Linked DNA regions of Schizosaccharomyces pombe. The main gene of each other region encodes a partner of the protein of the gene in region 3 in a complex. Each region holds a gene or a part of one and is shown on either strand. Other genes may lie near its edges.

Region 1 (3,402 bases), 1.7 Mb from region 3:
TACACTGATTCATAAAGCTAAAGAATTTTAAACCGCTAAAGTAACGCGTTGCTCCTCGTAAAATATCTAAAGGTAAAATGATGATGGGTTAGTAAATTTGAAATATTCGATGGATTAAATAAGAAGCTGGGGAAAAATTATGCAAAAACTATTAATAAGAAGAAAGAATTGTCATTAAAATCAAATTGTATACATTAGTCAACCTTGGTCAGAAGAGGTCTGATGAAAGCTATGAATCAACGAAGAAAAAATGGAAATAATGCTTTATTCTTCAATAATTATCAATATTCAAACTTAATAAACGGCTAAGTTTACAAATTATAAAGCCATTAACACTTTCAACACTTTTTTAAATTTTATTTTATCAGGGCAGATTTACGATACTTCATGAATTGTTAATAGTCAATTAATTTCAACAAAATTTTTAATTAATTATTTTAAATTATCCATGTCAATTCCATCACAATGTCAAGCCAAATTGTATTAAAGCAATATTGCAATGGAATAAATTAATAAAATATCGTTGTCTGAAGATTTCTGTAATAGGTTATTTATTCAATTATTTTATAATTTTTTTTTTTTTTTTTTTTTTTTTACAAATGACTCATGTAAACATTAACAGTCTAATATTACTGTCTACAGATTGTTATATGCATTGACTTCCATTCGTGTTGAGTACTCTAAAATACTCAGCTCCTTAACATTTTTGCAAAGAACAAGTTATGTGGGTCAAGGTATTTAGTTTTTACTTAACTTAAAAGTAATACAATACAAACATTGTAAACATCACGGTTAAAGAACCCAATTAAGCACTATTTCACGTTCATAATAATATAGTTAAATAAAAAATACAGATTTTTTAAATCAAGTTCAATAAAAGATTATTTCGTAAAAAATTTTTTATTTTACTTTGATAGGCTTGAATTAACACATACAGGGAATAATAATGACTAGACGCTGAGCAGATGACTTGCCATCACTCTGTTTACCCCATTTTCTTAAAAACATTGCGTCTTTTTCTTATATTTAAATCATTCTTAAATGGAGTTTCCTGTTTTCTCATGAAACTTACAATTGAATCGAACTTCTTTTAATTATTTACTAAATAGCGCTAGTAATGAAAGTGCAATATTATCTAGCTGCGCATTGTAGTATCTTGTTTGACTTCTGTGAGTTTTCATTGTGATCGGTAATATCATATTATATATAGGTGTGATGTGGGTAGCAATTTGTTGTAAGTATTTATACATGGGTTACGTTGTTACCTGCCATTAATTAACATATAAACGAACCTGTTTCTGTTCAGATGTACTCTGTTTATAATCTTTTGGAGTAAACATGATCAAACACAAACAAGTACTCAAAAGAATAGTTATCAGCAATTATTAGTAAACGAATCTTAAATCTATCCTAACAGATGACATATAGTGATACGCAGCGTAACGTAGTGTAGTCTTGCTTACGAAAATCAAAATATAAGGATAACTAACACACTTTTTAAACAGCGAATGCCAAAAAAGGATGGGAAGCAAGTGCTATTAAATTCCTAAGAAAAAAAAAAGCTTGAAAGTATTATTAGGTGTTTTTATTCAATAGATGTTATAAATGCAATTGAGTAGAATCGATGCTATTTTACGTTACTAACCTTCATTCCAGTCTATTATGTGGTTTTTACTGGTTCTAACTACTAAGATTTAGTGTGTTATAATTATATACAACGAAGTCAAGTCAAGGACAACAATGTTTATACATTCTTCACTATCCCCTTCAAGTACCTTTTTGTAGCTTATTTAATTGTTTTGAGCATTTGGATTGTTAAATTTTAGAAAAAAAGTTTTTGTTAGATTCAGATTTCCATTTATAACGGCCACTCTTTTCGTTTCAAAGAAAATATAAAATCCGGTATCATACACTACTGCGCATTCGTTAAATGTGGTTTATTTTTTTTTATAATACAAATATTACATATATTTAGTGTTTTGGGTGGTTATAAAATGGCTTTTAATCCCCTTTTATCTTTATTGAAAGCAGATGCCATATTCCTCGGGCAACTTTCCAAATCAAGCTTTTGTGCTACTAGTAGAGCTTTCTCTGTTTTCTATTTTACAAGATTTAAGCGAAGTGCTTATGTGTCAGCGCCTTTTGGAATCGAGCCTCATGACGAGAAGGAATTGAAAACAATTGATGATAACGTCCATTCCAATAATCTATCATGGCAGAAAATACAAGAGCACGAGGTCATACGTGAATTGTATAGGAAAGCTGCTTATGAGCTTCCTGGACTTACGCGTAAGTTTACTGGGTAGTTTTACCTTAGGAATTCTATTTCACAATCACTTTAATATGCTTAATGTTCCATTTTCTCTGACAATTATAGCTTACACACAGTCTTTTAAAAAGCCTGCTGATAGCCAGATCTTTAGGTTTGAATCTGATGTCCAAATGTCTTCGTTTGAGAAAATGAATCCGAAGGTCGTTGTTACATTTAAAGTTACGAATATTCCTTTGCTAGAGGAGAAACAACGACATGTATTACGATTATTGGTTGGACCAAGATATAATCCGGAGGAGGATTTAGTCAGAATATCTTCCGACAAGTATTCTTCTGCACTACAAAATAAATATCATCTTATAAAGATATTAACTTCGCTCATTGAAGAATCGAAGAGAAATGCTGAAAAATTTTCACATGTCCCATTGAATACTGGCCATTGGAAATACAAGAAGTGTGATAAACGGATGCCACAGGAATGGCTCGCAGACGCAACTACACTCACTTCTAAAAAGAAAACAACGATTGGCAAGCAATCACATAATACAGTACTTGAACGAGAATCGATAGCAACTACAGATGAATAATATGAAAGGAAAGTTTGTTTAAGTTACTATTAAAATTAACGAGTCTATAATGTAAGCTAATATTGAAGGAATTAATCCTTCTCATTACTATATTAAGATGAAATAAAACTGTAGTATAAAAGGTACTGTTTCTCTAATCATAAATTTCTAACGGAGGGATTTTGTCAATACTACTGAGCCAATTTCTTGCGTTTGATTCGGTAGACATCCATTTTAATGGAAGTTCTACCAACTGTCCCCGAATGCCACGTAGTAAGTCGTAAACTACACGTTTGTCAGGAACTTGTAAACCATTATTAGTACGGGTTTTTGGTTTCTCTGTCTTCGAATCTTCACTTGCACTCGTGTTACCACTACCTTGGGAACCAGCCTTTGGATTTTTTGGATCATTCTCTGACTTTTCATGAGTTTCGTGTAGATTTGACAACTCCTCCTGACGCCAGCGGGCTTGCTCTTCTTTAAAGCGTTTTCCATATTTTTTCCACTCATTATATGATTCCCACGTTAGCATCTCGTCATCCGGTACACATCGAAATATGTGCC
Region 2 (3,395 bases), 220 kb from region 3:
GTTACATCATATTTAAACTGTCAGAATCAGCTCCTTTGCAATTTATTTTACACAGCTATTAGCAATTCGCTTCGCTTATCTTAGATACTTGTGAGGCACAGACTGTCAAAATTTGTTGAAAAGAAGCTGAAACAGTAATTTGCGCGTATGAAAACGTAAGTATTTATGTTTAACACCTAATATAATCGGCATCGTTGGAAATTCATCTTCGTAAAATTCGGTCAATTACCATCGAACTTCGACGTTGTCCTTTTGAAGCAACATTTAAAGGCCTATACCTCGCCAAACTCCTTTTTCATGTCATCTGTCAGTCTGCCATGAATTTCTCAAAAACATTACTAAAAAATTCAAAAGACGGGATTTCAAGTGTAATATTTTCACCCTCTGTCAAAAACGAACTAATTGCAGGGTGCTGGGATGGTAGCTTACTGCATTATCAAATCTCGGAAAATCCCGAACTTTTAGGGAAATACGATTTATCAAGTCCTATTCTTTCTTTAGAATATACAGATGAAAAAACTGCTTTAGTAGGAAATTTAGATGGGACAGTTACTACCCTCGATCTTAATACGCGAAACCATGAGTTTTTAGGAAACCACGGTAAGGGGGTATCGTGCATTTCTAAGTTGCGTTTGGAAAGTAAGATATATATTTTATTAGCCAGCTATTCTATTAACATTTTAGACTGTTTCATTAGTGGGTCTTGGGACAAATCATTTCGTGTTTGGGATGTTCGCGTAAAGCAACCTGTCGAGGGACAGGATATAGGAAAAAAAATTTTTGCAAGTAGCTCGAGAGATAATATATTGGTTCTAGGCTGTTCAGAAAGAGAAAATTTGGTGTACGATATTCGAAATTTAAAACTTCCATTTCAGCGACGTCCTTCTAGTTTTAAGTATATGACTCGAAGTGTTTGCTGTAACCAAAATTTTGAGGGATTCGTTTCTTCCAGCATTGAGGGAAGGACATCTGTTGAATATATTAACCCGTCTCAGGAAGCGCAAAGCAAAAATTTTACCTTTAAATGCCATCGGCAGATACAAAAGGACTACGATATTGTTTATCCAGTTAACGACCTAAAATTTCATCCGATTCATCAAACATTGGCAACTGCTGGGGGAGATGGCGTTGTTGCGTTTTGGGATATACAAGTCCGAAAACGATTAAGAGTGTTAAATCCTTCAAAGATCAATATATCATCTATTTCTTTTAATGTTGACGGAAGCATGCTTGCAATTGCCACTTGTGCTCAAGAAGAAGCCGCTGGTAATATCTATGTTCATGCTTTGGAATCCAACTTTGCAGCTCCAAAGTTAAAGTCATGAAATCGCTCATCAAAAAGCTTCATCCATGTAAAATCTTATGCAGATTCTTTTACTGCATACATATGAAATTTATATTATTTGAAGCACTCCTATTTAATGTTGTAAATGTTCAATATTTCCTCAGTGCTTCAAAGTGATAATTACGGTATTTATTATTTTTTATTCCACTATATATATTAAGTTAATAAGCAATTAATATAAACGCAAGACCATATTTATATAAAGAACGGGTTACGATTAAAAATACTTAATATAAAAACAATGTGACACTATTTGGTAGAAATTATCTAATTTACTTTGTTTCTCTTATTCACATTGTTTATAGTTATTAAAATAACTATAATTATACAGATCGCTAGCGCAGTTCGTAATTTATTTTGACTATTTCATCTACTGAGAATACACTCACAATTTGAACACAACAGAGAAGCCTTCTAAACCAGAAATAAAAAATATGAGGGCTTTGGGCCACCTGAAGCATAAAGCATTTCGTGATTTATTATGTAGGAGACTTTTTGCTGAACACGAAGTTGAACGTCAAAGCAATCTCTATATATATAGAAATCCTGAGCTACCTCTTCGGGTGCGTTTAGAAGCCAAAAAGCGGATTGAGGCTTTACCGACTAATGCACATCCTACAAAAATAAAAAATCGCTGTATTGAGACAGGTAGAGGCCGAGGTGTATTTCGTGCGTTTGGACTTGCAAGGGTACGATTATAATGTCATATAAATGCATTTTTGATGCTGACTATTTCAGTTTCCTTTTCGACTTAAAGCACTAGCTAATAAATTACCCGGAGTTCGGTAAGAATAAGCATTTTTACTTTTGTCACTAATCCATTCAGCAAGGCATCATGGTAATAATCGTTGTTTGTATTTCAATCCATGATAAGCGTTATTGAAATAAAAAGCTTTAATTATCTTCCGTGAATCCATCATGTTTATTATTAGCTAATATTTATTCGCCGTTTAAATGAAGTACAATTATTTGCATGATTACATTCCAAAACTGAATATTTACATTATCAATTGTTTATGATTGCCAATAGTTAGGTTCAGGTTCTGTGAGCGGCCTATCCATTATACTTTTAGTAGATATAGAACTGGTATTGTTGTTCTCTGTATCTTCATCAGGTGTACTATTTTTTTCGTTGTCTTCCTCTTGAGAAGTATCATCCGTTTCTTCATCTTCACTTTCACTGGTTGATGTTTCATATTCTCCTTCAGAACTTTCAGAAGTTTCACTAGCATAAAATTCTTCAAGCGTTTGCTGGCCAACAAATTTTGGACGGTTAATTGCGTTAGTATCTCCAAAATCACGTTTAAAGTTATCAGAAGATAATGCTTTCACACCCGGTGAATTGTTTGAATAAATATTTCCCGTATGAGGGTTTATTGGCAAAACATCCTTGATACCTTCTCGGACAGAATCAGGCGGTAAATCAGAGACATCAGCCCAGTTAGGGATTGGCTCATATCCCATCACGTCTTCATTCAAACATAAACTAGCGGTACCAATGCAGTAGTCCCGAGAAGCAATAATTTCTTTTTGACTATTCCCCTTGCTTTCCAATACGATGCGCCTAGTAAATTCAGAACTCGGTGTACTAGCTAGTTCTTTGTAAAACCTAGCTCTATCTCGTAAATCGTAACTCATGTCAAAGTGTATCAAAGATAAAACATAATTAAAAAGTAGTGACACGACATCATCTCTTGACTCTAAATCGTTTTGCTTCTCTTCAGAATGAGACAAAACATATAGTCTTACCGATAATTCGAGAATTTGATACTTCACTTCTAATGTCTCATCAGCAAAAGTTTTAACAGCAATGCGTAGCACATCAGGGACTAGTCGCGGTATGATTAGTATATGCTCCGAAATAAGCCATAGTGTAACGGATTTGGCCCGCGGTACTTCCAAAGTTTCATACGTTGCAGCTAAATACTGCAGATATATTTCTTTAGGATCATTATGAATGAGAAGCCGAAGTGAAGAGGCAGCTTCTGTCACGATAAGGCTATTATGTGATTTAAGTAACAGCAATAAAGTGTTAAGACAAGAGGGGGCC
Region 3 (3,960 bases):
CAAGGATAGACAATATGCCTGCAAAAACAAGCATGCCTTCATCGTCAAATTTTCTGTTTTTATTAGAAGCATTTTGGTCATTCATATAATCATAGGAATTGTAGTAGTATTCTTCCCAAGACCCCATACCAGCAGAACGACGAGATCTTGAATAGGTAGGATACCTCGCTTGAGACCAATTTTGAGGCGAGGGATGTGTAGGATGAGACGGCTGATTCCAGTGAATTCCAAATCTATCGTATTCCTCACGACGTCTCTTATCAGATAGTAAAGCGTTGGCTGCCAGCAATAAACGAAAGTACTCTTCGTTGTGCTTATTAATTTCTGGCGGAGATTCCGTAGGCGCTAGCTGAGATGCATTCTTCATTTTGTCAGGATGATGCTTCTTAACCAGCTCAATATATTTTCGTTTAATGTCATTAGCCGTACACGTACGAGGTAGTTCCAAAATTTCATAAGGCGTCAATGACTTCAATTCGGAATAGGAAGTAAAACTGGCTGCTCGCCTCCATAAGCTATTTCGCACAAGATTTAACCGAAAAAATATCTTTGACATGTTCAAAACTTGTTCCAACAGAGGCGACGTTAGTTTCTGGATACGATGGAAGCTTTTATGTAGTTAATATTCAACTGAGTAAGATATCAATGTTGCTTCATTGAATGCAAACCGGCTGATCGAGCGCTGCTTTTTTTAAAGTAAAAACCGCAAGATACTCTGGTTCTATATAGTTTTAAAGCTGGATATGTAAAAGGAAGCTGGTTTGGTAAATATTTCAAGAGTTGGTACCATATCCGTCTGCTATCCCTATTTCGTGCCCTTGCTATACTACGTGGGCGAATCGCAGAGTTGTTGAGCTGCACCAACGAATGAGAAGGAAACGCAGGAAAATGTAAAGATTTAGAGTAATGGTATTTAGTAATAACAAACTTATTTTTATTTTAATATTCTTTTAAGAAAATACAAAATTTAATCGCAAACGAATTGAAATATTTTGGAAATTCTTTTTTATTGCCTTTCAAGGACGCCTTTCCTTCGTTAAAGACGCATCATTCTTTTATCGATAGATTTGAAAAAGAAGATCTTTAGTTTCAATCGTACAACACAATTCTTGCTACACGGTGTTTTTTGTTTGTTTGCATTTCGCGTTTCTTTGACCTACAACGTTGAATAGCGTCGCATTGGTGACTTACCTTGGAAATACGTTATTTATTTTCCGTTCGTAATTCTCAAAATTACAGGTTTGCCGTGGATTAAAAGATAATTTGGTCCACGCTTGCTCTTTAACTATCTTGATTGCCCTAATTGTTGTTTCTTTTAAAAAATTTCTAGAATCTTAAGTACTAAAAAAATTTGCCGAAGAGTAATTTTGAGGATAATATGGAAGTGACTATTATTTTGCTTTATTTAAAAGATTCTTTTTTTTCTCTTTTGCCTATCATGTATCCTTTTAATCATATAGTTAGGTTGAAATCAGTGATCTTTTCAATTCATTTCTTCCATGTACAATTTCAGCCGCCGCTTGTTTACAAATATAATGAGCTATTTCAAATTGTTCATTGCATCGCTAACTACGTATATTTGCTTGTAGTTCGTGCACCGTATTCATATTTATGAAGTCGAATGTACTACATTAAATGGGTGCCTTAGAAGCGTTCTTTGTAAACGGAGGATGATGAAAGGAAATCAAGAGAGAGAACTCAGAAAAAAAGGAGTTGTTAACCAGACGATAAATCAGAATTACAAGACGAGCTGATCCTAGAAAGTGATGTGCGGTTTTATGTACTTTGTCCATACCACTACTAAATAGGAACAGTAGCGAATCGTACCGAAGCGCCCTAACTACAACCAATGCCAAAGTGGTAAGTAGTTTCACGGCTGAGACAGTTATAAATTTATTTGTGCGATTCAAAAAGCATTTAAACTCATCGATAGCATTTTTTTTTGACTGAGTATCTCTTAGGGTTTTCCTCCCGTCTTTATAGCGTTAGTGACACCCTTGGTTGCAAAGTGCAATAAATATATAGGTGGTTCGGCTTTTATAAAGCGATTCCAGGAAATATTCTTACTTTCACTGCTAAGGTTCACTAAAAATTCATGATCATAACTTAAAAAATAATTTTTTTATTGATTTAATTACGATGTTACGCTCATTTTCACATTTTCTACAAATTGGCTCGAGGCGGCAGCCAACTTATTTTCGGTGTTTCCATAAAACTACCGTACATCTTAACTCTTTTAAGAATGATCCCAAAAAGGAATTAAATTCCAATTTAAACGAAAAATCCGTAGAGGAATCATCCAAGAATGAAACCAAGGAACAATTTAACTCATCGTCTATACCAAGAGAGAGTGAATCTGAAGGTAAAACTGCGTCAAATACTTCCCCATTATCACCAAAAAAGGTAGAAAATCTCAGCAAGCTTTTTAACGACATTAATGAAGATGTTTCTATCGAAGAGTTAAAGTCTCGTTTCAAAGATCACCTTCCTTTCTATGAAAACTACATTCGTAATCATCCTCTAGCCATTGAAGCACTCCAAAAGTCTACAGCACCACGTCAAACTGGTTTGAAATTGAACTATGTATCAAAATTGGATAAATATGTCACTCCTTTAGATGGATATTCTCATTTAGGATCGGAGGAGTCTAACGGGGAAATTCCTGATAAGTGGGAGGATTTTAAAGATGACCTCACGTTTGAAATTTCTTCAAAGTTTTCCCCATTTGATTTTGGCGATGCTGGTAAGAGCACAAGTGACGCTGAGTTTCTCTCGGATATTAGTGGAATCCCAAAGTCAGATCTCAGAGCCTTAATGTTCGTTCCCCTTGTAAGAAGACGTGTTGTTAATCAAACCCGTAAGGGAAAAATTGCCAGTATGTACGTACTGACTGTTGTCGGTAATCGAAATGGTGTTGCTGGTTTTGGTGAGGGAAAAGCCGAAAGCTATTCATTAGCATACAAACAATCATGTGGACGTGCTGTTAAAAATATGGTTTACATACCTCGCTACGATAAAAGGACTGTATATGGCGTTATTCATAAAAAATTTCATGCTGTCCGGTTAACATTACGATCTCGTCCAGCCGGTATGTTGTTCATTTGTTCTATAAATAATCTTTTAAAAGCTTAGACAGTTCTGTTTTCTGTTTATCGATTAGTTTTATTCGACATGTTTACTTGTCCTGCAATGACAATTTTACTAACTAAATATAGGTTTTGGACTTCGATGCAACCCCATCCTTCATGAGATCTGTAGATGCGCAGGTATAAAGGATATTAGTGGTGAGATACTTGGTTCTAAGAATGGAATGAATACTGTAAAGGCGATGTTTGAGGCTTTACAAAGTCAACGTCTCCCTGAGGATATTGCCATGGAGCGCGGCCAAAAGTTTGTTGATGTACAACGCGAGTATTACAAACAAACATGATAAAGTGACTTTTATTTTTTGTATAGATAAATATTCAATGCAGTCAGTACTCTAATTCTTTACTTCTGGAAACCATTGTGCAGCTTTGTTGTGCAAGATATTCATCTACATCCAATTTGTATCATTATTTCTTTAAACATCGTACATCATTAAAGTCTGAATAAGCTCGTTAATTATAACGTACTACAAAACTCCTATCACTCAACCCTACCCTAGCTAAGAAGTACAGTCACAGGCCTTCGAAACGGAAATTATCTTAGACAAAATTAACGACACCACCAACACTTTGCAGGATGGGACGTGATATATACAAGGACGAGACTTTGACAATCCCCAAGGGTGTTACTGTTGACATTAAGGCACGTAATGTTACAGTTACCGGTCCTCGTGGTACTCTCAAGCAAAACTTGCGCCATGTTGATATTGAAATGAAGAAGCAAGGCAATACTATTAAGTTCATTGTCTGGCACGGATCTCGCAAACATAATGCTTGCATCCGTTCCGTCTATTCTATCATTAACAACATGATT

The links.
Region 1: mrp5 (region 3) and rsm24 share a complex: the UniProt entries of both Schizosaccharomyces pombe proteins name them as parts of the mitochondrial small ribosomal subunit.
Region 2: mrp5 (region 3) and mrp2 share a complex: the UniProt entries of both Schizosaccharomyces pombe proteins name them as parts of the mitochondrial small ribosomal subunit.

What each region holds. Positions count from the first base shown.
Region 1 is NC_003424.3:562,176-565,577, forward strand, and holds rsm24 (mitochondrial 37S ribosomal protein mS35), read left to right. Parts: upstream 1-1,750; 5' UTR 1,751-1,994; coding exon 1,995-2,289; intron 2,290-2,298; exon of another isoform or gene 2,299-2,377; coding exon 2,378-2,859; 3' UTR 2,860-2,898; downstream 2,899-3,402. Other genes in the region: phospholipase D Pld1, read right to left, coding at 2,993-3,402. UniProt on the Schizosaccharomyces pombe protein: Component of the mitochondrial ribosome (mitoribosome), a dedicated translation machinery responsible for the synthesis of mitochondrial genome-encoded proteins, including at least some of the essential transmembrane subunits of the mitochondrial respiratory chain.
Region 2 is NC_003424.3:2,504,229-2,507,623, reverse strand, and holds mrp2 (mitochondrial 37S ribosomal protein uS14m), read left to right. Parts: upstream 1-1,739; 5' UTR 1,740-1,779; coding exon 1,780-2,034; exon of another isoform or gene 2,035-2,083; coding exon 2,084-2,130; exon of another isoform or gene 2,131-2,171; coding exon 2,172-2,187; 3' UTR 2,188-2,359; downstream 2,360-3,395. Other genes in the region: mitotic spindle checkpoint WD repeat protein Bub3, read left to right, coding at 318-639, 685-1,325; AP-3 adaptor complex subunit Apl6, read right to left, coding at 2,360-3,395. UniProt on the Schizosaccharomyces pombe protein: Component of the mitochondrial ribosome (mitoribosome), a dedicated translation machinery responsible for the synthesis of mitochondrial genome-encoded proteins, including at least some of the essential transmembrane subunits of the mitochondrial respiratory chain.
Region 3 is NC_003424.3:2,283,973-2,287,932, reverse strand, and holds mrp5 (mitochondrial 37S ribosomal protein uS5m), read left to right. Parts: upstream 1-1,919; 5' UTR 1,920-2,139; coding exon 2,140-3,088; intron 3,089-3,215; coding exon 3,216-3,430; 3' UTR 3,431-3,451; downstream 3,452-3,960. Other genes in the region: SPOM_SPAC4G9.19 (DNAJB family protein), read right to left, coding at 1-556; rpl901 (60S ribosomal protein L9), read left to right, coding at 3,724-3,960. UniProt on the Schizosaccharomyces pombe protein: Component of the mitochondrial ribosome (mitoribosome), a dedicated translation machinery responsible for the synthesis of mitochondrial genome-encoded proteins, including at least some of the essential transmembrane subunits of the mitochondrial respiratory chain.